4 linked regions of the Styela clava genome follow. The protein of the gene in region 1 binds, or shares a complex with, the protein of each later gene. Links are inferred from orthologs where the notes say so. Each region holds a gene or a part of one and is shown on either strand. Other genes may lie near its edges.

Region 1 (7,356 bases):
CGAACTAATAGCAAAGCGGAGTGCGTTACTTGCTGATACGATACTTTCGTTTCTGAAGCGAATAAAGGCAAGATTAGCATAGTTGCACGTTGGCAAGACAAAATTGCATTGTCGTTACATCGTTCATTGTTACTCCTATATTTAAGTCTAGAGATTTAGTAGATATAATAATATGAAGTATATATATCAGGCGCGGGTGAAATATGGTTCTATCGAATGATGTGTCCTTCATTCAAGGTTTGGAAATATGGCCAACAATGGCGATTTCCACAAGGATATTGATATCTAATAATATACCCCAAAGATCTTCTTCCATAACCTTGCACAAAATTAGCTTCCCCTTTAGAAATTTTTGATTGCTCTCCTGGTTTCAATCGTTCAGTTATGCGAGAGAGGAAAGTCGATTATACGGCATAATCATATGGCGCACCACCATATGCTGGACCCTTCGCCGTAGTAGGGTGGTCAACGTAACCGCTGATCGGTTACTGCTTCCTCTATCATTATACTAAGGTTAGTTCGGATATTTATAATTTTTACTATCCGGAGAACAGATATATCCGTTTATTTTGTATATATTTTTACTTCACGGTTAACCGGATTACGGATAGTTACTGGTAATTGTTAGAGAATCAAGAGAGAATTTCACGAGATTTACATGGTGAATTGATCAAAAATCACGACACAGTTTTATCATGAATATTTACACAAACACTGTATGAGCATATATAAATGAAATTTTGAACATGAAGAAAAACACGCATTTTTCGATGAGGAGTAACCAGAAATAGCTAGTAAACAGCGCAGGCAAAGTCCACTGAATGTCGATAGCAATGTTCTAGACTAGAATCTATTCTAGATACTTAAAAAGGTGGGTATGGCAAATAATGAGGAAGGAAGAAAAGAAAGAAATTGGCATCTACTCTCCAGTGCCGGAAACAAACAAACTGTGGAAGCCAGGGTTTCAGAAGAGCGGGATATATTAATGTTTCTGCAATGCATTGACTATGAAGCACCCCATCAATCGTGGCGTCAAGTAAACGAGACCGTGGATCGCATAATATATGTCTGCGAAAAACACAGTGTACTAGCACCAGATAAAAAGCAATATCAAACTGTACCACCCTGCCGCGCCAGACAAAAACAAATTCCAAATGTAGGATAGAATCGAGGCCATCCACCACCGACAAGGCCAGATGATACATAGGCATAGCCTCCGTGGCGTCGATCGTGCAGTATTGGCGATGTGTCCAGTCCCGAACAAAAACACGACCCCCATCTGCGTCATTTCCTGGCAATATACCCGAATCCCAATGGCAAAAATAGCGACAGAAAACAATAGTTATATATCACCAAAACCGCCATCTTCAAGACTGCCCCATCTCCACACGCACAACTTCAAAGCTTTTCAACTGAATTCGTCTACAGCAGCGATTCCCAAAGTCGGCAAAAACACTTTGTGACAATATAAATGATGCTTTACATGCAGATAAGCAAATTCAAGAAGCCTACTATTGGCGACGAATTAACCCACCATCAGTAAAGGAATTGGACCTTCTGGAGTATGTGCACCAAGATGGCGCACAACCTGAACATAGTATGTGTGCCAGGTTTGGGTTCAGGTTAGAGATGTACCGATACCACTTTTGTCGCCGATACCGATCCGATACCAGCTAAAAAAGCCGATACCAATACGCCGATATTCGAAAACGACCGATATTGCCGATACTATGTAATTATTACCTCAATTGTGCGGGGCAGACGGTTTAAAACAATAGTCTTTAAGCATTGTTAATAGTGCGCATTATTTCGGATCAAAAAAGAGAAATATCACATATTAATAAGAAGTAGATGTTTGGGATCCAAATGCGCAAATTGATTCAGATGCATTGAGCACTGACGCTAGTAATCTCGGCTCTTTATTAGAAAACTAGTAGGATTTGGCTACTGTTGGTGGTAAAATAAATAAATGTTTAGCCTACTTATCGCATGAAACTGATACATTGAGTAACGTGCGTAGGATTTTGTGCCAATATAACGTCGTATTTTAAATTATACACATCGGAACATCCACTAATATTCGATTGATATAATTCTTCATAATTACCATGTAATATTAAAAATTTTAATATAAAAATTCGGCAGCGAAAATACTCAAATTGATTGACCCAGTTTGACTGATAAATTGCTTAAAACACGTCAGCGGGTGTGGGGGCGTACAATGGCTCAAAAATAATTTCAAGGTTAGTATTCTAACCTATTTTTTAAAACATTCTGAATCATATTGAGAAGCTAAATATATCGGAAATATTGGTCTAAACTTAGCCGATACCGATACACTACCGATACTGAGAAATTGGCCGATGTTGCCGATACCGATACATCGGCACATCTCTAGTTCAGGTTAGCGACATCTTGGTGCACATACTTCAGGAGCACCAAGAAATTTTCTGATACTGTTTTGCATGAAAAGGCGCCGTCTGTAGTTATTGGACACGTTTAGTGGACATAACAATCGTTTTGTTTTTATGTTGTTCTTGTTCTTGTTGTTGTTCGACACTTTTTGGACACCTAGTGGAAATATTAAAAAGCCGCTTTTCTCTTTGATCACTGGACCAATTGCTTTGAAATTTTTAGTGGTTAAAGATGAAATTTTTCTCCAGAAGGCTATTACTTTTATTTATTTCAAATATTTCTGATAGCTCTGTAAGATTTGTTTTTGTTTGCTATGACGTCATCGAACGTTCTGCGGACATCGGACGCCATTTTGTGCCCTACTGTACTGCTTCGCTTGGTGTGAATATATTTGTAGAATGTGATCTGACGGTACGGTAAACCGTACTGTACTGCGAACAGACGTGTCCATATATTTGGGCGTAGCTCTCTTGTTTCATTGAGCAATGATAAAGTACAGAAACGAGTTGATTTTTCAGTCATAGTCATGAAGGCAGTAAATAAAATAAACGCGTGCTAAACACTCGCTCACTTAAATAATTATGCAATGAAAGTGATGAATGCATTTGAGCGCTTACTAGCCTTACTTCACACTGAAGTAAGATATGGCTTTCCATGGATATCTATCTGCCATACACCAGCAAGACGGGTATCGCTGCTCGATGACCAGCATTTGATTTTCGCGGAACTTGGAATGCCATTACTACGTTTACTCCTATTCAATGTTCGAACCAAGTGTATATTAAGTTTGGTGAAAAAATAAACTACTGACTGACTGATTTCACACCCTTTTGATACTGTTGTTGAATTCCAGCAGTTTACTTTCATGGAGAATAAATCAATCTGATAAAGATGGATTGGTTCCAATAACACTGTCTGGTTCCAATAATAGGCTCGTCGTGTATCAGTGAAATATGCCTGGACGAACATTTTTCCAATTCTAGTTTAGTATTATTCACGGACGTGGGATTCTTGAAAAGGAACATCAAATTGCAAAAAGATTTTGAACTCAAACAAATGTTCAGTGTTCCATAATAATTGTTCAGAATTAAACCAAATTAAAATACCCTCACGTGCGGGATCATGTAAAAAAAAATCCTTTAACAGCTCATACCTGTGCCATGACCGCGCTTCTAGATTACAAGAGTAACCGCATTTGACATCGTTGAAGAAACATAAGACCGTTTCTGACTAAAATGAAGCCGGATATTGATAAGCTAGCTGGTGACGTTTTATTTTGCTCACCCATCTCATTAGGCTAATGATGAATGGAGAATAAATTCATTTATGCTTATCAGTCAAAGGTGAAGCGAATGCGCTCTACTTTTACATAAAAATCACATTTATTTTGTGATGTGATAGTGGAAGTACACTCCAGCATTTACGGATGGCGCTGGTGGTGTCGCTGCCTGAAGACCTCTTGAGGTCCCTCGCGACTCCTGTCACACAATTTAAGTTAGTTTCCACTTGTATTTGTGATATTTTTTCATATATCATACCATGTTTAAATTGTGTTGACGAATAAATGATGATTGATTGGATGGCAAAGGTATAAGCAAAGAAGTGTGAATAAAATTTGTTAATATATGCTTTGGGGAATGGCAGCTGCTACGTAACAAAAATATAAAAAATCATTAATGAGCATATGGATTATTTATGCTACTTTAATATCCGGTTATTATATTTGTTTAATTTTGTCTGTACATTGTTTCATGCACGACGAAATAAATACAGTATCTGAATCTGTTAACCGTCACAATGCTATCCGGATATCAGGTAGCAAAATACATTTGGGTTAACCGGTTTCGGTATCCGGACAATTCAACCCCACATCAAACATGGAAAACAAACGACTGGTTAACTAATCAGACTAATGGGCGGTATTGCTGTATTGTTACGATATTTTATAGGCTACTCTACGTGCTGACCTGTGTCTTTGTCATCAACGTACCGGGTACCGGTACTGACGTAACGAATATTGTACGGTACCGGTATTGAAGTTCACAAATACCGATACCTACGGTATGTCATTAAGGGGTCTGGTATAGTTTAGTACCACATCCACTTCTAGTTGGCCTGGCTCAACAATTTTTGCATATGTCAATCCTAACCCCCACCTGACTACGTCACCGAAAAATTACGTCATTCCGACGTCACAGTGGCGTAATAAGGCCCACCGAAGTATGCGGATGGTCGTCCAAAACGCGCAGACGATAACCCGAAATCGAGCAAGCTATTTCTCTCGTTTTCTCGTCGCAACGATCACGATAGGAGAGAGATCGCCGGCCTTAACAAGTTCTTATCGGCGGCGCAGATGCCATTTCGGGCGATGGTAATTATACTTTGGCAATCCCTATGACGTGATGGTGACGTCGTAGTGACGTAATTTTTGGATGGCATAATCAGGTGAGGGTTAGGAGTAACATATGCAAAAATCGTTATGCTACGCCCACCGGAAGTACCGGCACTTGTGGTACTAAACTATACTAGACCCTCATTAAGTTATATGAACGATTCTTTAACGTACTAATATAATGTCATTACCCTAAAACTTACAAAATCATTGGATACTGGTGTTCCTTATTAAAACATAGGTCCGCTTCCTTAAGAATCATGTTGCAAACAGTATTCAGGTATTTTTTTTATTTAAGTCAGTAAGTAGCCTACATTTAAATAACTAGGGTCTCTGGGTTTACAAAATTGAATTATTTTTTAGGTCAATTTTAGAAGAAATGAGCGCTAGACTACGGTATAGGTTCGCTATTGTTTTGGAATGAAAATGTAAGTAAGTGTAGCTCCTCTGCATTTTGTTTGTCCGTTTGTTGATGTTTTGTTTCGTTCAGAGTGGCCAAAATAAAATTGATTGATTGATAGCTCTATGCAGCTATGAAACAGAAAATAAAAGTTCTCCGCCTAAATAAATTGAGTTCATTGAATGTATTTTTTCCAACAACATTATGCATTATTATTTTATCACAATTTATCCTTCAGTTATTTTAAATTTGTATTAAGTCAACGGTGATACGATATATTATACTAATGTAAATAGAATCAGATTCCAATCAAAATTAAATTTTTTAAAAACTTACATCTGTAATCCTTCCTTTAATTAAGATAAACATAATTTATTCCTAAATTGTCAAACTTAAATTGTCAGGAATATAAGATCATATATTGGGTTGCGGTTATTTGCGATAAAGTTCCGTCTTTGTTGTAAACTATTATTACAGTATTATTAACAATAAGAAACTTCTTCATTGCAGGCATAATTTTAATTCAGGGTATTTCAATATCATAATATTGATATTCAAATTTATTCTTCAAAAGTTATTATCGAAAAAAGATTGGAAATGGAATTACAACGAGGAAGCATCAGCACTAAACAACAATTAATGGCTCTTGTTGAAGACATTGATCTTATTACTCGGCAATTGTTTGAAACTCTTTCCCAACAGTCATCAAGGCAATCTTCAACCAGTCAAACTTTCAATTCTCAAAATGATGAAGCTATCCCACAAAAAATGAACGTGAATCAGCTTACTGATCTTTTGCTTCAAAAAAACAAAGATTTAGAAGAGAAAATGGCAATGGCACGCGACCAACAACAACTTCATCGTGATATCAAATTATACAAAGCTGAAATCGCACAAAAAAATAAAGAAATTGAGGTTTTACAAAAACACCTAAAAGATGCGGAACATCTTTTATCCACTGCTCTATACCAAGCCAAAGAAAAACTCAAATCGATCAGAAGAGCAAGAAAAGGTGCTGTTCCTTCTGAAGATATCATTAAATATGCTCACAAAATAAGCGCTGCATGTGCCACGGCAGCTCCATTAAATTGGGCGCCAGGTGACCCAAGACGACCCTATCCACAGGACATCGAAATGAGATGTGGTTGGCTGGGACAGATTAACAATATGACAGATGCAAATTCAACGATTAAGCCACCGCCGCAGTTAGGAACGGAAGGACTTTCTGTACCAAATTTAGTTGGTATGTCGCGATCTAATGATATACAACAACCACAATGGGGCAACCAATCAGCATCTGGTATGGACGGAAAATTTGGATATGGTCAAAAAGGAGATGAAGAGGTTGAAATAATGTCCTCTGATTCATCATCAAGTTCATCTTCGGATTCTAGTTTCGGGAATGATTAAATTATAGTATTGTCAGAATATTAGTTTTTAATATTTAAGGAATACTCACTGCCTGTTTTCTTTTTTAATTTCTGTTATTTCTTGAACTCTTTAACGCTGAAAATTGTTCCAAATTATATTATGCTGGTTGGAAAATGGAAAAGTTTTCAAAATACCAACAAATGTGTTCATTTGATGCAAAATTGTCATAATAATCCAAAGTGTAAAGGTGTTATGCAAACTGGTGTTTGAGATTTGTATTTTCATTCACGTATTGGTATTGATATGAAAACCAGAGTCTAAAACATTTATAATAAGATGCAGAGAACGTTGTAACGATGTTGTTTACTGCATAGAATAGCTTTGATGGTTTATCGAATCATTCAAATTGACAAAAATCATGTTTGAGTAAATTTGTTTTCTTTGTTACAGTCATCATTATGACTAATTGGAGAAGAATTTCAGAATAGATAACTTTTAATACGTGGGAGTGTTGGCCTAGTGTTTAAAGCATTAGGCCTAACTATGATGGCATCACAGAATAAAATTTCAGGTTCAAACCAAAGGCCACCCCCTCGCGCAGGTTTTAATAAATTGGGTAGGCAATACCAAACCGGAAGGATCCAGATTTTTCTAGAATAAGTTACAGTAGCTCCTTTCATATCAGTAGAAATGAATTTTTACTTTTAAAAGCTGTTATCTGTTTAATTTCTATTTGATGAAATATTTAAAATTTCATAAAAAATGCTATCTGGGGAAC
Region 2 (7,902 bases), on another chromosome or scaffold:
TATGCCTAAGAGATTATCTGAGTGTACGTAGTATTTCAATTCCATGAATGATCAAGTAGCTGCAGGTTCTAGTCTGGCTAGCAACAAATAGGTGATAGCTTCTTAACAGTCTCACAATTGAGAGTACATAATTCCAGAAATCGCACGATGAAACCCAACAGACAAATCATTTCTTATAGCAACCCTGCAAACTGGGTAGGGCTGTCATATTGCTAGTGCCAGGTAAATATCTTGCTATCAGTCATTCATGTCATTGATAAAGCCGCTTAAAATTTTATCCTTTTTGAATATGTCCTTCACAATATCAGATGTTTCTGTGTCCATACTGTTTTTACCCTGGGCATTCTGAGATATTGATGTTGATAAATCAGTACTAGATAAATCAGTAAGCATGGAATCAACATTCATAGGTTCCTGAAAAAAAATTAAGGTAAATAAGGACGCGAACTGGGAGCTTGAGTATCTAGACAAGTTCAAAACTCAAATAGCATCATAATGTATGAAATCACAAAAGTTTGTATTTATTAAAATACAATTATTAAAAACTCAGAAACTTTGAAATACGATAATTATGGCAGAATAGTGAACTGAGAAATAGAATAGAAAATAATCAATATGAAATATTTCCTTACCTGGTTTCGCATTAGCTCAATGGCTTCAACTGCAGACTGATTCTGAATGAAATAAAAAACTGTTAACCGTATATGGGAAATTGTTGACCTTGAGCAAAATGCAACACTCCATTCATTGAAGTTTTTGAGAAATGGTCAAATGGGCGCATGAAAAAAAGACAAGTCGTGGCATGCGGCATTATATGAAACACCACATACCTCTGCTTGCATTGTCGCAAGTTGAGTACTAGACTCTGACAATATATCACCAGCTTTTTCAATATGTTTCCATAACCTTTCGCCAACGTCTAGCATTTGTGCTTGTTGCATTTCCATCATAACTTTAAGAGTTTCGCGAGCTTGGTGAGGACTGTAATCAAAAAAGAAATAACTTAGTCATGTTACTGTAGTCAAATTTGTACAGTTTCTCATTACTAGTCTTATCACTACTATGAATAACCAATAAGTTTGTGATGCAGATGCAATAACAAAAACAATATATGTAGTACCGAAATTCATTTATTAGGTGATGTATGTGTATAAAAAGCATGTTCAAATCTTCTATCTTCTTATCGCGTGCTTCAGATTCTGTAGCACTAACAAGAACATCCAACAAATCTAAAAAATTGCAGAGTATAGAAACAGTGAGTTTCTTCAATTCCTTTCTTCTGTCATATACAGGTGGATGGAGCCGTTGAAGTCCCTGAAAACATAACTATAATGTTATTCCATATCTTGTTCAGATAGTCATTAAAATGTGTAGAGGCAAAGTTTGTGCAGAAATATCATTTAACCCTGAGAGTTGTAATATTGTAAGCCAGCAATATAACTTAAACAGGTGTTTCTCCAATACTGTGGACAACCAATGCACTTTCAAATTTCAAGAATAATGAGCAATTTTTCTAAATAATTTATCATATGAAATTATCAATTATTTTTTGTATGAAAATGGCTCATATGGATTATCATTTTTTCCGTTGATGACACGCAAAAAAAAAGAAAATAAGTTACTAATGTGAAAATAAAATATAGGCTATATGATATAAATATAAGAACTACCTTTATTTCCAGGCAGTTTTTTGAGATGGAGCATCGAGATATTAGACCTGAAGAAAAAGCATGCCCCAACCATAAGAACTAGAGGTTTCAAATGTTGTCGCATGTTTAATATAGATAACACCATGATAATCGTATGAATATTAATTATGCTACTCCCGTATTCAGGTATTGAACTAGCTTTTCGAATAATAAAAATTAGCACCTGCATTTCCAAAGGTCTGATGATCAGGTCATCTTGATGACATTGTTGTCCAAACATCATGTAAGAACCATCAGGCAGAGCTGGAGGCTTAGGAGCAATATCCCTCTGAACAGCCTCATCCGTATACTTGCTTATGAACTGAAATTTATGCATGAGGAATTATTTGCAATTTCAAAACTAAACAAGATAGGAATAGGAGAATTCAAAAAATAAAATACATCCTCAGAGAGGAAAGTTGGCTCAATCATATGGTAAACCACAGCCTCTCGTCCGGTTACCGGTACCGCACCAGTCCATGTCGGGTATATGTTTAGTTGGCCAGTTATTTGTTTGGGATGCATAGACTTATAGCTATATACAAAACAGGCTAAAATATTCTCAATGAGAACTGGAGAACGGTCTATTTTGATGAAAAAAAACATAATAAAATTTTTATAATACAGTGTGAACTTTGCGCAATATAACATGATTTTATTTTACTTATTAATGAAAACTTTACCGTATCTTACCATCTTGGGTGGCAAAGGAAATGAACTTTGGACTTGGACATCACTTGATCCACCGACAGTCTGCTGAGCCGCAGCCATTGTATTCCTGAATAGCAGGCGAATTATACCGGTACCAGGTTACAGTTCCGTTTTTATTGTACACCATGCGCATGAGAAAGACCGTAACGCTAGACCTGTAGGCCGTAAATATTTAGGTATAGAACAACATTCGAACGTCTTGAAGCCAAAATTCATTAGCATAGTTAGCATAGCATTTAAAGGCATGGCATTAGGTAATACCTTATCGTGGCGTGGTAGTGAAGTCATGCCAGTGGCCGTGTCACATAATAGACAGTAGACACTAGTGGTTAATCCATAGTTTTTATAATGATAAGAATAAGATCATTTTGTAATTCCCAGAAAAACAAACACAAAATATAACAACTCACAGAAAATCGCTGGCGAAACCACTGATAAGATTCAAAACGCGCAGAAATAGGAATATGGTGAGCGCCAATAAATACTGAAATAAGTAAATGCCCATTCATATATTTTGATCCGTATTTCATTGCTGATGCTATGTCTTATTGATTCCTCATGGACTTTCCCCGAGCATCGACTTTCTTGTTTACTTCGTGGCATTGGCCATTGGCCAATTAGCAAGATGCAAAAAGTGACGTGCAATGCTCCCGTTTCGCATCCGCTCGGACACTTTTCTCACTCAGACAAGTTTTCAAGCGTGGTCGTAAACATTCCCTCATTTTCGCGTTTTCGAAATTTATTCTTATGTGGGAAATTTTACCTTTAAAAACCCATGCAAGAATAAAGTGGATTTCTGGAAATGATTTGTGTGCCCTCTGTGGCAAAGAACCAGAATTTATATCACATTTATTTTTGAGATGTGAATTCACTCAACATATATATGATTATATTTTTTCTGTTATTAGGAAAATTAGTAATTTAAGAGAAGACTATTTGACCTGCATTTTATTAGATTTTTCCCAAATGAACAGTGTATTTTTTTCAGATTTTCATGAAAACATTATAGTATTACTTATATCAATAACAAGATATAAGATCTGGTTAGAAAGAAATGCTGTTATATTTCAAAAAAAGATACCTAACGTTCAAACAGTCATAAAACAGATACAAACTTCAATAACATGTCGGAGAAATATAGAAAAAGTTCGAAAATTACCAAATTTCATAAAGGAATTAGAATTTTTAACCAACTGTCTGTGATTATATTTTGAGTAAATGTATAGTTGCTAATATTTTTTTTTCTATTTTTATGTATAACAAATAATGCTTAACTAATGTATTATTAACTTGAAAACATCTTGATATCACTGAATTGATATTACGGATTATACATGGATTATTGAACATTGGAATACTGAAAAATGGAAACTACGTCGGATAATATGGATTACAATTTGAGATAATAATGATTGTAAAAATTTTATTTCCCATTATTTCTATGATTATTACTGTATCACATTTAACACATTTGTGAGCGTTTAAAAAAAAAAAAAAAAAAAAGAAATTTATTCTTTAGTTTTCAGTAGTGTTTCAGAAACTTAAATATAAATCAGATAATTCAATGATCATTCTGTCTTTCTAGGAGTTTTAGTTTAATTGCAGTAATAAAAAATTAGTGTAGAAATAGCAGTGGATAGACTAGGCTAAAATTCTTTACCGGTACTTTTAAAAAACAGATTGTTGTATGCGTTGAATCAAAATGATGGTTTGAAACACATACCCCATTTTACAGGCGCCAACTCGCAAAAGCACTCTTAAAATAACCCCGAAAATTATTGCAATGGTGAAGTTTAGATAGAATTTCTCGGGGGTCAAAGATCGGGGAAAGGTCCGTATACATTATACAGCAAGGGCCAGCCCCCAGGAGCCTTGGTGACCTAACTGGTCTTGCATATTGACCCTCACAAATAATGATCAACCAGTTGTTTATTGTTAAATTTTATTTTGTGTTGCTTCAAATGTATTATAGTGTTGATATTGTTTGTGATAACAAATCTCTCTCCCACATATAACCTATATAACACGCGCATAAATAACGAAAAAAAAAACTAAAAAACGGGAACATTTATCGGCTGAGGGCGCATAACGTTGTGTACAGGGTACTACTTTCGAGTGTACATATGAAAAAATTGGAACGATACAGAGAAGATTAGCAAAAAAAAAAAAAAAGGTTGCCATATTCGCTTTTTTAACGCCAAATTTGCCATTTTTGGCTTTTTTGAAACCCGTATAGCGTCAGAATATCCGTTTGGCTTTTTGGCGTTTTTTAAGTCTATTCTAGTGTCTATTATTAGAATCATATGAAATACAATATTTAGTGTGTAACAACTGAACAATAGCCTATTACTTGTACTTAGCTACTTAACATTAGGATTTCCTGGAGCATCGATTTCCTTGTTTGTTACATTAACTCTTAACCATACCCAATAAGAAATAATTGCAGTTTCTGCAGCTGCTCAGACAGATGTTCAAGCAGGGTTGTAAACATTGCCTCGTTTTTATAGTTTTCGTTCTGTTTCCAAAAAATAGTTATATAACTTAATTTTCATTATGCCTGATATGGTTTATGTGAGCTTTAGTTTAATTCTGCAATTGCAATAACGATGTGATTAACTACGCTAAAATTACTGAATAAGATATCAGTGGTAGAGATGTACCGTTACCACTTTTGTCGCCGATACCAGCTAAAAACGCCGATACGCCGATACTATAAGAAGGCCGATATTCCGATACTATGTAATTATTACTTAATTAGGGGTGCTGTGTAGGGCAGACGGGTTAAAACAATGGTCTTTGAGCGTTGTTCATAGTACACATTATTTCAGATCGAAAAAAAAAGATATATCACATAATATGAAATTAATGTTTGGAGTTTGCTTTAACTGATTAAGATACATTGTACAGTAACGCTAGTAATCTCGGTGTTCAATTAGAAAACTCATAAGCCGGGATGTCAAATTTGAATTTAATGTTAATATCGCGACCTTCGAATATCGTTTTTCGTGTTTAAAAGAATATCGAATATCACCCACATATTCTAGTGCCGCCGTCCTACGCTCAAATTAAAAGCATTTTACAAATATTGTATTTCATGGCTAATCATAATCGTCGACGCAACAAGTCAAAGCCAACATGAATAAAGAATATCAATCAGCACCAACAAAAAGAAGGCCTACCTATAACCGTCGAGGAGGTTTTTTTAGTAAAAATAACATGATCTCTTTCAACGAAATAGATTTTATAATATTTTACAATTGCAATCATATATTTTGAGACAGTCTAGGGATAGGCGGTCATGTCAATATATCTATAAAATAGTTGTGTAATTAAACAAAATTCAAATTAATACTTGCGTAGAGAGATAATTGTGTCGGAATTTAGTTTATCGATGTCGACGGACTAAATGACACTCGTACTTGACGACAAACAGTCAGAATTTATACCTGTGCCAAGGGTCTATGTGCCGTTAATAAGGACCCCAATTCCACTGTATGATTTAAAACCGGGCGCCTGATTGCTTTTTGTTATGTGCGGTGTTGATATATTTCTTCATAATTACTATGTATTATTAAAAATGTCAATATAAAAATTTGACAGCGAAAATATCTAAATTAGTTGAGCTAGTTTGGCTGATAAATAGCTAAAAACACGTGAATATTCTCTCACGGTGGTGGGGACATGTATGGCTCATAGCTCACAATCTCTCCAGACAAAAAATAAATTGAAAAGTAGTATTCCAACTAATCTATTTTGGACCATATCAAAAAGTTAAATATATCGGAAATATCGGCCTTAATCTAACCGATACCGATACATGGCCGATATTGCCGATACCGATATCCGATACATCGGTACATCTCTAATCAGTGGTCCACCTGTGAGCGGCAGGGGGTTAGATAATTTTTTAATAAAATTGATGGTTTATAAATTTTAAAAGTAAAAAATATTCAATAGTAAAGTACGATATAGGGAGAAATTTTTAAGGTATATCATAAGTTTAAGTAGAAACATGTAGGTATATCATATTCTGATGCGGCACCCTGTATTGTATTTATTGAATGGTAAAATAATGCTGTCCGCTCGATATTTAATTTCTACAGTGCTAGGCTATAGGAACTTTACTTTCTATTCGTGTGCCTCACTGAATGAACTAATGGCTCTATATCATCATCGGTACGTTGCCAAGGGCTTAAAATCTGACAAATCATGGGTAGCCTACGGTACTTAGTAAAATTGTTGGCTTTTTCTGGCTTTTTTTATGTCTTGATTTGGCTTTTTTTGATGGCTGGGGTCTGGCAACCCTGATTGTGTAACCAATCACCAAAACATAAATCATGGATCTGTTTACAACAGACACATTTAAAGCAAAACAATAATTTAATTGAGGTGAACAACTGCAAAGCAATGTGCTAGGTGTGAACCAAAGCATACCGTACCTATAACTTGTTGTACACAATGTCACAAAAATGACTTTATTAGTTGCTGCATCCTCGTTGATCTGATTGTTATGCTTCTCAGTTCTCAATTCTGCAATGATTGGTCGTTTGACTAGTTGACAGACAGGTCGCAGTGTGAATCGAAATAAACTTATACCGGTACTTATAATGGGTATAGCTAAATGTGTTTTACCAAATTTTGAATTTGTATATGGCAGTCAATGTATTACAAAAATATTTGAGCTATGTCTGTTTTTAATCCTAATGACCATCAACATATTCGATATAATCCACTGAAAGATGAATGGGTTTTGGTGTCTCCACATCGTCTTAAGAGGCCATGGACTGGACAAGTTGAAAAACCAGTTTTAGATGAAATTCCTGAATACGACCCTAAAAATCCACTGTGTCCTGGCAACATAAGATCGAATGGTAAACAAAATCCAAAGTATTCAGGGACTTATGTTTTCGATAATGATTTTCCTGCTCTACAACCTGAAGTTTTTTCAACAGAAGAAAATAATGACCCTTTGTTTAAGATGTCTCCTGTATCTGGTGAATGCAAAGTAATGTGCTTTCACCCTCATTCAAATGTTACCTTGCCAGAAATGAGCAATAATGATGTAATTGAGGTCATCAATAAATGGGTTGATTTATCAAAAGAGCTTGGTGAAAAGTATACCTGGGTGCAAGTTTTCGAAAACAAAGGATCAGTCATGGGTTGCTCCAACCCTCATCCACATTGCCAAATATGGGCGAGCTCCTTTCTACCCAATGAAGCTGCAATTGAAGATAAAACTCAGAAAAATTACTATTGTAAACATGGAAATCAAATGCTGGTTGAATATGCAAGGCGTGAGTCTGAGTCCAAAGAGAGGATTATTTCAGAAAATGAGCACTGGGTGGCAATTGTTCCCTACTGGGCAACTTGGCCCTATCAAGCGATGCTTATTCCAAAAAGACATGTGCTTCGGTTACCTGATCTAACCGATGAGGAACGGTCTTCCCTAGCAGAAGTAATGAAGTCCCTACTGACAAAATATGATAATTTGTTTGAAACTTCT
Region 3 (6,808 bases), on another chromosome or scaffold:
TAATTCACTTTAGTTTCACAAAAGTGTTGGAAAAAGTATCATTTGTTATATTAACAAAAAGGGAATGCCATGAATTTTCTGGACCATATTCGAGTAAATAATATATTCAGATGAGAAGACAGATTTGTTAAAAATTTTGGATAAAATATCAAGTTCGATATTGAAAAATAGCCATCTCTGATTACAACATCCTATTGTAATATTATTATTCACATACCGTAAGTTAAATAATACCATACATAATGAACACATTTTATTACATTTATGGTATTATCACTTGTTTTTCCATCTAGAACCTAATCATGCCTGGACATTTACTATAGTTTTTACTTATAGTCAATGCCCTGGTTGGTAATTGTGTCAATACTTGATTGATTAGCATTATCAATAGATTAAACTACAAAACTTACTTTATAAAAACAGCAAGGTAGATATCTAGCTATTGGCCTACATTCAACATGAATAAATAACTAAGACTATTTGACCTGATTCTATCTACTTGATCTAAACAATACAAAAGCATTTCATGATAGTATGTACATTGAAAAATACTGGTACTACTAGAAATATCAAGTACTGCTTGAAATTGTAAATTGCATCTAGATTTATTCAAATTTAAAATTCAGATATGATGTCACAATTTTAAATTAATATTATAATGTAAGTGATACCCATCATATTACTATTTTGGAATACTAGGTGTAATTTTCCTGTAGCCCTCAAATTTCATAGGGTGATAGACAATACGATAAGGAAATAAAAATCAGCAAGAGTGCTTCAAATCAGGGATGGCCAATACCGAATAGTTCACTATTTCAAAAATTTCAGGATATAAGTAATTTAGCATTATCAAAATAAAGTGTGCACCTTACATATTTGGCAAGTTATTGTGATCTAGTAATCATAAAAATGTATTGTTTAGTCAACACTAAGTAGAAAGCATAAACAGAGTAGCACAAACTGTACAGATAATATGCAATTATAAATTCACAACCTGCAAATAGTTTGTTTTTGTTCACATAGCAAAACAATCATTTTGACTGGTTTAACGCATGCTATTTGCACAAAATGAGGAACCCGATTAATTTAATTAATTAAGCATTTGGATCTGTATCCCAAAAGTAAGGACTTAAAATAGGGAATTGCAATAGCAACAGCCAAAATGACACAATCACATAGCATGTGGTTTGAAAAAAGACTACCATGAAACTGAGAGTCATCATCATTGAATACATCAATGACTACTTGAAATCTTCCTTTTCATGCACTTGGCTAAATTTAAATACATCAATTTACTAATTCACTTATCAATCAATTATTTAGGGATAGGATTTTATATTTATTCCGGGAGAGAGGAAATTAGATAAGAGGGCTCTCGTTCGGTTAACAGTCTATGTCGGGTTACTCGGGTATGATATTAGTTGGCCAGTTATTTGTTTCAGATACATGTCTTTGATTTGAAGTTGAGCCATGCCTATACTTTGCAACGTAGATAAACTTTGACCCTCCCTTGTGTCCATCTATTTGTTTCAGATACATGGCCTTGTTTGAAGTTGAGATATACCCATACTTTGCAACGTATATAAAATTTGAACCTCTCTTATTGATGGAAAAACGGATACCGAGCTTTAATTTAGTTTAATCAAAGGTTACCCTTTTCCTTTACCCTTTATAGCCATGCGATCATCTCTGTTATAATCACTTGGTGTGACACAAGCTTTAGGAACTTTTTCTAAAATGGAAGAAATTTCTTCTTTTTCGTTATAGTTTTTCCACAAATCATAAAGTTGTAATATAATTTTTGTAATTTCAATAATTTTTTCCATATCAACATTTAAATCTGCAAACCATTGTCTTGCAACCTCTAACTGACTCTGTATAACACATGCAATATGCAGGCATGCGAGAGCAATTTGAAAAGGTGGATATAACAATATGACATCCGTACGATATGTGTCGTTTACAATACGCCAAGCAACTGGTAACAATAAATCAGCGTGTCCAATGTCTGAAACATATTGTAATAATGGACGATATGGGTGATACACAATTAAACAACAATCCATTAATTCCAGGAGAAAAAATTCACATTCCCAAACACTGGTTATTCTGTAGTTATAATCCATTTGAAACGCATGGCCAAATTTATTTTTGATGACACTTCCGACTGCAGCAATAAGCCGTGAATTTGATACCACGCCACTCTCTTCCACCTTCGCAGCAAGAAAAATGCAAGTTGGAGCTAAAAGAAGTGGGTCACAGCTTCGTAATGGATGTCTGCAATAAAACCTTTTGAAATAAACAGTTGCCGTAGCAATAACTTGCTGGCGTAGCTTTAATTGTTCGCCAATTGCTTGGATTACATTGGCATAAAAAATCATCACTTTGTTATATTCAACTTCCGTTAAAACTTTGAAATCAGCTGCTCGTTCTCGAGTGAGATCTTGCGGCGTAAGTATCCATTGATTGCAATGAGAACTCTGCCAGAAGTTTCCAGCCATATCAGATTTAAAATAGGAGCTAGATGGTAATCTATAAAAAAAATGATAAATTTTTACAAGACACAATGATAGAAGCACAGAAAAATGCTACATAACAAATGGCAAGATTGGTTTGTAAATTGATGCATGAAAAAGTACGGTATAACTAATAGTACAAAGTTTAGGAGATATTTTGTATAACTATGTAAGCATTACAGATGAATAATCATAAACAAAAATTTTGGAATTCGAGGTTGTTATTTCAGAGATGGAGATCTGTAGCAATGAGACATATGGGCACTGTTATATTAAAAAATGTTCTGCAAAATATAACAGGTGTCATGATATGATGCAGTAATCACATTGGAATATTACGATACACATAATTGCATTAAAATTCATCAAAAATGGAAGAAAATCAAAATATAATAAAAAATTCTATTCATCATGTCCGTGATGTGACACGTTAGTGTGAGCAACTAAGTGTTCAGGAATAATTGCACCGATTCTTGAATAATAACGATTTCTCAAACCAAATGCAGTCATTGGTTTAATTCTTGGTTGCATATCAACAGAAGCATTTGCAATTTCTTCTGCTGCTTCTTCGAGAGCACGTTTTGCATTTTGTTCTTTGGCAGAAGCATTCAGGCCACTTTCACGACCAAAATCAATGATGTACAAAAGCAAAGCAGATATTAAAGCAACACTGATACACATACAAAAAAATATCTCTAACATGAAATATCCTTTACTGTCGAGAATACTACCAGCGGCAAGCGATATGACAGCCAAACCCAAGTTTTGTATTGATTGCATAAAGCCATAGGCTGTGGCAAGTTGATGCTCAGGTACTAAAAATGCTACAAGTGGCCACAGTGCACATGCTAACACAGAATATGCAAATCCCATCAACGTCATGGCAAACCATGGATTGATAAAGGTAAATGCTAATAAACCATGACTTGCAAGAGTTAAAACAACAGCAAATAAAATCCAGAACAAATTACGACCAACCCGATCAATAATAAAGCCTAGGACCGGTGAACAAGGTGCGGACATGATATATACAATACTATTCACTGCGCTTGCGCTCGATGAAGAAAATCCAAACTTTTCTTGAAAAAACGTTTTTCCTAAACCTATAAAAGGAAATACTGCTACATAATAAGCCACACAGATGGCAAATACAAGCCATAACTGAATTGAAAAGTCTTTAACATCCGTTAGTTTAACAGCTTCTTCAGCTTCATTCTTTTTACGATTCAATATTTTTTCAGCACGTTTGTCTAAATACGCCAAACTAATTGCACATGTCAACGAGAACAAACAAGTCAGAGCAGCAATAAATAGAGAAACACCCAAGGTTTTATTGTGGTCCTTCATTTTTTCATTAACCATATCATAAATTGGTACCATAAGGTTCATATTCACGGTGCTTCCAATCCGAGCCATGCTGAGTTGTAAACCAAACACTAAGTTTAATTCCTTTCCTTTAAACCAGAGAACAGCATATGTATTTTGGGCGACAGCTAATGATTCTCCACCAATACCAAATATGAAACGTCCTAGGTCCATCAACCATATTTTGTGTACCAGTGCTCCAGTAGCAAAAATTAATTGCCCAATAACAACCAGCATGCTAAAAATGAGGCTGCCAAGGCGAACACCAAAAACCCTATCTAGGAGAAATCCTCCAAAAAAACAGAGGACAACATTTGGCCATGAATACCAAGCATAAAGCGACATAAAAGTGCTTTCACTTACATCCAAATCATTCACAATTTCATCATGTAATGCAGCAGGATTGTCGTAGCAGAAATAACTTCCAAAACTTAGAAAACACATCAAAGCAATAATGATAAGACGATGGCTCAAACTACGAGGATTTCCAACTTCACATGGTTTTACTTTAACTGGTGCAGCAGATGAACGTCTTCGAACAAGTGGATCAGTTTCCATAATGATAATACCGGTAGGTTAGGTCTTAAATTTCAGAAAGTTTTGTATTATTTAATCTAAAAAGTAAAAATACCTTAATATATTGATGTAGAGCTTTATACTGTTATAGCTTATGACTATCGCTTTGGAAATCTTTCAGCATTTGTATGCATATCCAGATATAGGATAGGATTTACATATTTCTCCTGGGGGAGAGGAAAGTTGATAAGATGACTTAACCATATGGCGAACCACTGCCTCTCGTCCGTTTACAATTTCATGTCGGTTGGGTATGGGATTAGTTATTTTTTTCCGGTAGCATGGACTTGATGGTGGGGGAAGCCGTAACAGACCAGCGGTTACGTGATCTACCCTACGACAGCGAGGAGTTCAGCGATTCACTCGCATGGGATTCGAACCTGCAAACCCACGCAGAGTAATCAGATGCGGTGGATCATAGAGCGTATTCCTAACGCTTGGCACGGCGAGCCACACCGGTGTATTTCAATAATAAAGTAGGGCCTAGTACATCTAAGATAGCAAAGAATGATGCTTTGCCAAAGATTGTTTGAATGCTATAAGCGACGAACCTATGACAGTGTGACCTAATACAGTGATGTCAATCCCAAAATTTGTGTTCTTCTGAGTTTACACGGAAATAGTAGGGCCTAGGTTAGTACTGTAGTATCTTTTTTTTTTGTGCCAAATAAATTCCAATGGCAAAGGGAATTTTCATATTGATATTTTGGAATCGAATCATTTTATTTTAAAAACACAGTCCTTTGTTTCCATGTTTTTTATTTTAAATTTAAAATGCTAAACACCGATACTCTGGGGCTGTATTTTGTGAAAAAAAATATTGCTGATGTTGTCGCAGTCAATAGCCCAAATCCAAATTAGTATCAATGTAACAGTTACAATGCAAAATGATTTAATGATCACTAATATCAATAATTTCAAAAATTATGCGGCTCTCACATATTTCTGACTCGCTGCATGCGGCTTTTATACTAAAAAATGTTGCCCACCCCTTCTCCATATAGACTACCGGTACCGGTACTAATTAATTCAGTTTTTAAAACCGTGTTCCCATAACAGCATAAGGCAGTAAGGTAAAAAATAATACAGCGAAATTTTGGATGAAATGCATTTGGTCCAGTAAGTAAAGAGAAAGGTGATTTTTTCATAACGATAGGAAGAAAAATTCTAATGCCAAGAAGAAGAGCAACAATAAGAACAACAACATAATAACAAAACGATCCATAGGTCCACTCCGTGTCTGATAACTACTGAACTACGACAATTCAGAATGACACTCTCGTTCTACTGCAAATCATTAATTTCCTGTTCATCGACTGTTACTAATTCTGTTAATTCGGATGAGTTCTGATTCCGAACCATTTCCTATATTTTCATTTTACACGCAAATCTGATGTAATCAGAGTGATAACAAGAGAAGGTAAATCCTTTTTTTTTTTTTTTTGTGCCAAATAAATTCCAATGCCAAACGGAATTTTCGTATTAATATTTTGGTATCAAATCATTTTATTATAAATATATAAATAGATATTTTTTTGTTTCCATGTTTTTGTTTATCATTTTTTAATTTAATCCCATTCCCCCCAATACATATGAATATGAACATGAATATGAACATATGAAGAGAAGGTAAATCCGTTGTCGTAGATTGCGCAAAAACAAACTGGTCGGCCCATAAATAAACGCTCTACTGCCGCAGATGACACTGGTACGGCCAGAACAATTTTCGCATCATCTTTTAGCGGTAGAAACATGTGTCTATTCTTCCAATAATCTTATATAAAAATGAGTGTCTCATGAGAAATACAAAGTGTGTTGTCTCATCCCATGGGACGTTTCCCATTCCATGGATAAGCCTGGTAAGCTAAAATGGACCACAATTAACCCTTTCATTCATGACTTTTTCGCTTACAACAAGGAAATTATTTTTGTATTGAAATGAAGTATTTACAATGCCAATAGCACAGAGGCGTAGCCAGCATATTTTGCGCCCGGGGCAAAATATAAAATTGGCGCCCCGACCCCCACGTTTAATCATGTTTCTATTGCATTTAATTTTATATGTAAAAACAAATTATATATCGTCACGCTAACAACCGAATTGCGTAAGTCATTTTTAGCTGTTTTGAGAAAAACGTAAAAAAAACTTCCTAATGATATTGCTATGCCATTAATTTGCCATAGTTCAACTTTTTGATCGTAGCCGGATTTAAGTTAATTTGTATGACGCAGTCATGTGACGTCATAATGGCGCACTGTGACTTAGGCAAAAGTGTGTCTATGACTAGGGGACATACGCAATTTTGCAACTTGACTATATGTACCAGTCCTGAAAACCAAACAATCCAAAA
Region 4 (7,104 bases), on another chromosome or scaffold:
AAGACAGGAGTTCTGGTACCGTAACGCAGCGCGGTGACACTGAACTAACTCGTAGCTGTCAAAAGCTTGAAAATCCATACAAATATGAGAAATAAAAAGATGAAACTTGGCAGGTGGGGAGAGTTGTGTTTCTTTTAACCATATTTGAAAGTTTCGCGTTTCTACATTTGAAGGAGGGGGAATAGGGGGTGTGCATTTCCGATACGTCGATATTATCTTTGTCAACCAATTTACGGCCACCGTGTTTTCGTATGTTTGATTGCTGTGATGTGGTGCTTTGTTTATAATTTAACGAGTTTTGTTCGAAATAACCGTGTTCTTGAAATATATGACGGTCAGAAATGCAATTAGAAGCCCAATGCTTCAACCCTTTGTCGTAGAAAGTTAATACGAGGTTTAGCGTGTAGAATAAAGGCCGCCAATGCACCCACGGTGAAAAAATTAACGGGTTAGATATATTGGTTTTTGTTTTATAGCGGTTTGAATGAAATTGTCCGCAGACTGGCTACACCACCCTAGGCCTGGTGAGTTGTCCGTGTAGTCGAATTGTCCATCAGCCCTAAACGGCTATGACAGTCACTGTACCAAAAATTGTACCCCGATTCGGCTGGTGTTAAGTTGACGCATGTTATTTAGTAACGTTTTTATCTGAAATGTTTGACTGTGGTTCGGTACCTGATCCGATAATACGGTACATAATTGACTCATATCACGAGATATTTCAACTGATGTTTCAATTGTCACAGGACCTAAAATATCTATTACAGTCCCTGTACCGTCACGGTACCCCGATACAGGTACTGGTAAGTCACCGCCGGTATGTTAGTCGTTGGTCACCGCATATGATTTTTGGGGAATTGTTCTGCGTGTCCATATATTTGAGCATTGCTCTCTTGTTATCCTTTTTTCCCTTTGCTCGTAGCGTAAATTAGTAATATTATCTGTTGTCTGGTTTAGCGTTTCCCTTTCGGTCATTTTCGCATCACGTATTCGTCGTGTTGCAAGAGCCGCAGATATTTGTCCGTATTGTGGACTGTTTACTTATCTGTTTTTATATATATATATATATTGTAATTGTATTAGCCACCCGGATCGGAAAACGTTCGGTAACAAAAAAAAAAAAAAAAAAAAATTTGCCTTTTGTTGTTGATATATGCTTTGACATATGTTAATCGATTGTGTTTTATTCATTAAAGAAACCACTGTTCTCTGCCAAGTGTATAAAGAAGAAGCTGATCTATGCATGTGTCTTGTTTGTGGACAAAGGGCTGAGAGTGGCGCGTTCGATACGTTTTTATTGTGTCTCGTCTGTATAGATTCCGGGCTATCAAAAGACGTCACACCTTGTGGCGATTGCGGTGATGGCATATCAGCTGAGAAGCGAGCGTAAGTCTTTTTCGCTAAGAGTTGTTTATGGGGAACGGCGTGCTACGGTACCTGGTTGCGAAAATACATACAGTAGTGATTCGGATAGCTGGTGTTACTACAGCTGTGAGTCGAATCATCTTGTAATTTTAATTTTAATTGACACTGACACAAGAAAGGAACTGGTGAAGATAGGTCAGTTCCGGTACCGTAACACATGCTTACACATACCTACCGTAACTGTCTCGTAAAAGCGGGGCTTACAGGTCCACTCACTGTGATGATTAATGTCTTTTAAATGTTGGGGTTTTTTTGGAATCGGTAAACTTTGCCGTGCTGGATAAGTCACTGCATTGTCACCATGTAGCTGTTTCACTGTTCAGCTTTGTTCAGGTTACGCTATGAATTTCCGTGAATTGATGAAACATTTTGTTCTGTATTACGTGTCCATATATTTGAGCATAGCACTCTTGTTTCGTAGAAGCATAGAAGCATTCAAGATATACTCGAGGTGTCGCAACGGAACAGTTTGGCGGGATATACTCGATACATGCCAGATTTTAATCACGAATTCGCTAATCATTATAGGCCGAGATAAATTGAATTTCACCACATCTGAATAATGTCTTTTTTTAAATTTCTTCAAATCATTATGGTTATTTTTTCCCTTCATATTTTCGTTTTATAAAAAAGGATCAACTATTTTCAAACATGTATATGCTTTACGACACCTTTGAGAAAAATCTGGTAACTTTATGTTATTGTTTTGAAAAATAGTTTTACCATTGTTTTCGGTTTTAATTAAAACGAGTTTCGCGATTCACTTGGAAATGTGTAGCTTATTTTGTAGATTGTTTGTTAAAGGATTTTCACAGAAAATTCAATTCAATCAAATCAGTAAACTGCGAAACTGACACAATACGGTAATACCGATATTTGGTAATGATAGCCTAGTCAGGTATCGGTACCGTACCCTACTGTACCGTACGGTACCGTACCCATTGAAGCTTATTCCAGTATTCAGTTATTCACATTGCAGTACCGGTACGGTCTGACGGTATTCTGGTATTGCTGTCAGGCTGTAGTTTAGACATACCGTAACTGCATAACACTGTAACATTTACAGATTTATTAGACCAATTACCGTACCGGTACGGTATGTCTTGTGTTCATTTTGAATAAATTCAGAAATTGATTACCGTATCCAGTATAACTGTATAAAGTTCTTAAACAGAAATGAGTCCAAATGACTGTATGAATGGTGCTTTATCGCTTCAATGCTGCAATCTGAATGACTAGATTTCAAAATTCTTATTTCTGAAATTTACAATGTTTGTCCGCAATCCAGCAATCTGAATCTCTAATCACATTTTGAACTTGATTCTACCACTACAGCACTACCGATAGCATACCGTAGCCAATAGGATAGTACCGGTACGGTACCGTACGGTACTGTAGTCTGTAGTCAGGTAGTAGGGTACCGTAATTTTTGTATTTCCTATGAAACTGCAGAAGGTCTTCTGATTTTGATAAAATCGAAATACATTTTTGATGGCTATTATTGATTCATTTCTGCTCCTGTACTGCAAATTGTAATATTTATCTTATGTTTTAGTTAGCAATATTCATTTTACTAACATTTTTCGCTCTTCAAAAACCTGGTGTTGATAAAAGTGTCATAAATTTTGTTTATTTCTGTGATGGCCCCTGGAACCAGGCCCGCTTCACACTCAAATTTTTGTCCTGAATTTCCATCAGAAGGCAACATGTTTGAGGCCAATTTTGATGACGTTGCTGCGGAGAGCGACCCATGGTCAGGTGCCACAGATCCAGACTCTGGTGCTCAAGATACAGATCAAGGATTTGAAGATTCGTTTATATCTAATGATCAGAATGATTCAGAATTTCCAACAAATCAGCAATCTGTGTCATATGAGTCAAACAAGGATTATTTAAATTATTTAGAATCGAAACTTCAACGAATGGAAACAAAACGTAAAAATACTGATAAAGTTAACGCACGAGATGTTCTCAAATCACTGAAAGATGTAAAAGAAAAACAAATGCAATGGAGTTTTCAACAACAAGGGGTTTCGTCGTCAGAAGGTGATACTTTCGACAGTGACAGTGGCCACAGCAGTGGAAGTGGTAACTCATTGACAAACGAACTTCGAAGAAAAATGTTTCCAGAGCAGCACGCACAAAATGACACCGAACTTTTGCATTTACTAGATCATGATGTTATACAAAAATTATTTCTTAATGTTCAAGATGATTCTGCAAGTTCAAGCAAAACTTGAATATATTTTTATCCATTTGAATCGAAATAATTAAGTTCAAATGAAATTTGTCGCAGTAGAAGTCTTTGTTTACTCAAATCATTAAGTTTGGTGCATATAAATCAAGTGTATGTCGAATCAATTTCCATGTACCATATTTGGCGCTCTAGAAGTGTGTGTACCAATATGGAGGTACAGTAGCTACACATACTACGGGAGTAACTTTTATTTTTTAAATTTCATTTTCAAAATTATGGGACGTGTATTATGCATTGTTGTAGGAAAATACAAAAAATAAACAATTCTGTTGTGAATGATATGCCATATTTGAAACTACCGTAAGTAATAATGACCCAGAGTAGAAATTTGAAATGTCTATAATTGTTTTATCATTACTCCACTTTAATTTGTTTGTTTCCAGCAATATATCGTAGCTGGTTTGTCATCGATAAATGGTGCATTATGTTCTTGTCCATTCTATAAATAGCGATTAGGTCATGCTATAATTTTTATTTCTTTTATGTTATATTTTTGTGATCGTGATTACAGTCAGGATTCATGAATTTAGAGAAGTCTAAGCTATAAATACTCATTCCTGTCATGCTGTATTGAAATTTTCGACAATTTTGAAATTATGCTTTTGTAGCGGCCAATGTTCCCTCTAATTTTTTGTAGTATGTGTGCGCAGACATTTTGGTGTGTGCACACTTTTTTGGAAATGAATAATATTTGTGCAAAAAACAATGAAGAAATTTTGGCGTTCTAACCGGTAATAAGTGGGCCAACAACAAACTTTCTCAACCTGCCAACCAAGCACATTGTTACATTACATCGAAATACGTCTGTGCGCAGTAAATCTATGCGTGTGCGCAGCCTCTGAAAGCTATGTGCGCGCGCACACGCGCACACCTTAGAGGGAACACTGGTAGCGGCTGATGAAATAACATAATTTTAATATGCATGTCACTTTATTACCCAGCCCTACATGTGCTAATTGACACAAGTTCATGTAGAAGAAGTATTTAAATTTGTATAATTTTGTTGCTCTTTACAAGCGGCAACTTATTTTTGGTTTTGATTACTCAACCAAGATGAACCAGTATAGTTGTGTATATTACTCCCTTAGCATCTATTAATTCACAGAATATATTAAGCTGTGACTGTTGCTCTAAGTAATTGTGTGTTTCAGGTGCTCAGTCAATTGTGATATGTTATATTACTATGCCTATACTACTTTATTATAAATGTATCAGAAATGTATTATATTATAGATTGTAAGCTCTAAATAAGTAATATTTGAAAAATAGAATATAATAATATTGGAACATTTTGCTCATCAGTATGTCTGATCGTCTCACACAACTTCAAGATGCCGTCAATCAGATGGCGGAATATTTCTGCAACAGCGTTGGAATCCTACAACAGAATGCCCCACCTGGATCATTTGCTGGATTAGAAAAAACTGGAAATAAGGAGCCTGCTATTTCAACTGATGAAAACGTCAAACTTTTTGCTACATTAATAACAAGAACTGCTAAAGATATAAACGTTTTAGTAGACTCGTTACCAAGCGAAGAAAGTACGCCTGAATTACAGGCTGCTCATTTAACTCGTTTAGAGCAAGAAAACCAGGCTGCTGCTGCAAATCTTGAAAACCTGGTGCAGAGAGGAGAACTTGAACTTAACAGAATTCAAACTGCCTTAGCGGAAATTGCCGAAGCGCAACTAGCAGCACGTAAACTTGAAGCCATCCTTGTATGTGAGAGCGAACCTGCTGTTTCTTTTCCTGTTACTGATAATTCAATTGCAGATTTTTCAGATATTCCGCAAAGATGATATTTTTTTTTGCAATGGTTAGCGATTTATGTTTAAAAAACAAGCAGGGTGCAATGGTTTTTGAGCAACTTCGGTGTTCAATGAAACATTTGGACGATCCAGAAGTGTGTCTACCAATATGGAGGTAACTGATTTTGTTTGCCTACTTTACACAAAGTTGTGTAAAGGGACTGAAACCTATGGGCAGGAGGTATATTCCTTTGGCTAACACAGACAGTCCCCGAACACACAATAGAACTAATATGAGGGAAATCGGAATAAAATTATGGCCCAACCCTAACGTGGTACATATACTACAGGCTACAGCAGTACCAACTTTTGTGTCTCAACAATCTCAATCATACACGAGCAGAAGTTCAAGTGTTGATATAATTAAATAATTTTAGTTCATTCTCATTTTGAAATCTAAAAAAAGGGTAATCAAAGCCTTGTTTTCCTGACCTTTTCAGTATTTCTAAATTCAAGCTCATTGAAAATACTTCTATGTGTTCCTCATTGATGACGAGCTGATTTAGTACCGGTATATATTCACTATTCCATAATAAAAATAAAGTTTCAGAATCCAGAATCTTTTTGACTTTCCTTTGCAACATGTTATAAAAAGATCCATGCCAAGATCTAGTTTTGTAAAATGGAATTAGTGTAATTCAGTTTATTTGAAAACATTATTAATTGAGCCTCCATACTCCTTGTGCTTGTTCATATCTCAGGCAATAAACAGGTGACAATTGTTTTGTACCTATAAATAGAAAATTATTCATATGATGTTCTTTATCAGTTTTGTATTTATGCACGATGGCGTAGTGGTGAAATCATTAGACTTAATACCTGTGTTGTCATCGCAGGTTACTAACCTCGGGTTCAAATTCCATGCCTATCATCTCACCCAGGGAGAATGGATGCGAATGTCAAACTGGAAAGATTTCAGTTCTTCCAGAAATGTAGCTCCTCGCGTATCGTTAAATTTCAACTGTGCCTTGTTCTGAACGAAAGGGATGAAGAAGCGTATAAACAATTGCATGCATACGTTAGTTTTGAGACCATTGAATATAGTTTTTCACAACTGCCTTAAAAGGCATTAATATATCATCTTGATATTTTTGTTATCTTGTTTTAGTTATGTTATCAAATCATTTATTTAGTTATGGTATTAGACTATTAGTACTATTCCACAATGAGTCGTAAAACAAAATCATCATTTGGTCGTGATTCTCTACAATCTCGCAGTTCAATAACTGGTGCAAGTGCATCAAAACTACCAAGAAGCACACCGTTACCTCATTCCTCAAGGAAGGTTCTTCCACGTAAGATATTTTGACATTATTGGACAGTGGACACAAATTGGACCTTTAGATCGTTTTGCAATGTCGTCTTGGTGTTTTTTTTTGTTTGCGGGGGAAATACTTTATTCCACTTCTATTGGGCCAATCAATTCCGAGTTTTCAGTACTCAAAAGACGATGAAGCTGTTAGGACGCTATTATTTTCATCATTTTGCTAGATATTTGTTGTTGTTTTTTTTTTTTGTTGTTGGAAAAAATATGCTTTTCTGGCAACTAATGAACTAATCGATGTTGAATTTTTTGAAATTCATCACTTTCAGTCGTGCTTGTCAGCAATTCTTT

What was found.
Region 2: mediator of RNA polymerase II transcription subunit 4-like (region 1) and mediator of RNA polymerase II transcription subunit 7-like share a complex: the UniProt entries of both Caenorhabditis elegans proteins name them as parts of the mediator complex. The link is inferred for Styela clava from reciprocal best matches to the Caenorhabditis elegans genes mdt-4 and let-49.
Region 3: mediator of RNA polymerase II transcription subunit 4-like (region 1) and cyclin-C-like share a complex: the UniProt entries of both Caenorhabditis elegans proteins name them as parts of the mediator complex. The link is inferred for Styela clava from reciprocal best matches to the Caenorhabditis elegans genes mdt-4 and cic-1.
Region 4: mediator of RNA polymerase II transcription subunit 4-like (region 1) and mediator of RNA polymerase II transcription subunit 21-like share a complex: the UniProt entries of both Caenorhabditis elegans proteins name them as parts of the mediator complex. The link is inferred for Styela clava from reciprocal best matches to the Caenorhabditis elegans genes mdt-4 and mdt-21.

The regions. Positions count from the first base shown.
Region 1 is NC_135264.1:5,105,142-5,112,497, forward strand, and holds the start of mediator of RNA polymerase II transcription subunit 4-like, read left to right. Parts: upstream 1-4,344; 5' UTR 4,345-4,476; intron 4,477-5,170; 5' UTR 5,171-5,235; intron 5,236-5,717; 5' UTR 5,718-5,804; coding exon 5,805-6,617; 3' UTR 6,618-7,356. UniProt on the Caenorhabditis elegans protein: Component of the Mediator complex, a coactivator involved in the regulated transcription of nearly all RNA polymerase II-dependent genes.
Region 2 is NC_135263.1:12,517,367-12,525,268, forward strand, and holds the start of mediator of RNA polymerase II transcription subunit 7-like, read right to left. Parts: upstream 3,017-7,902; 5' UTR 2,905-3,016; coding exon 2,810-2,904; intron 2,619-2,809; exon of another isoform or gene 2,467-2,618; coding exon 2,382-2,466; intron 2,011-2,381; coding exon 1,873-2,010; intron 1,315-1,872; coding exon 1,121-1,314; intron 982-1,120; coding exon 831-981; intron 675-830; coding exon 633-674; intron 415-632; coding exon 238-414; 3' UTR 1-237. Other genes in the region: galactose-1-phosphate uridylyltransferase-like, read left to right, coding at 7,084-7,902. UniProt on the Caenorhabditis elegans protein: Component of the Mediator complex, a coactivator involved in the regulated transcription of nearly all RNA polymerase II-dependent genes.
Region 3 is NC_135255.1:10,309,389-10,316,196, reverse strand, and holds cyclin-C-like, read right to left. Parts: upstream 2,533-6,808; 5' UTR 2,502-2,532; coding exon 1,650-2,501; 3' UTR 504-1,649; downstream 1-503. Other genes in the region: lysosomal dipeptide transporter MFSD1-like, read right to left, coding at 2,919-4,439. UniProt on the Caenorhabditis elegans protein: Component of the Mediator complex, a coactivator involved in regulated gene transcription of nearly all RNA polymerase II-dependent genes.
Region 4 is NC_135250.1:5,389,934-5,397,037, reverse strand, and holds mediator of RNA polymerase II transcription subunit 21-like, read left to right. Parts: upstream 1-4,958; 5' UTR 4,959-4,985; coding exon 4,986-5,480; 3' UTR 5,481-6,597; downstream 6,598-7,104. Other genes in the region: uncharacterized protein LOC144428188, read left to right, coding at 3,066-3,665; kinetochore protein NDC80 homolog, read left to right, coding at 6,655-6,784. UniProt on the Caenorhabditis elegans protein: Component of the Mediator complex, a coactivator involved in the regulated transcription of nearly all RNA polymerase II-dependent genes.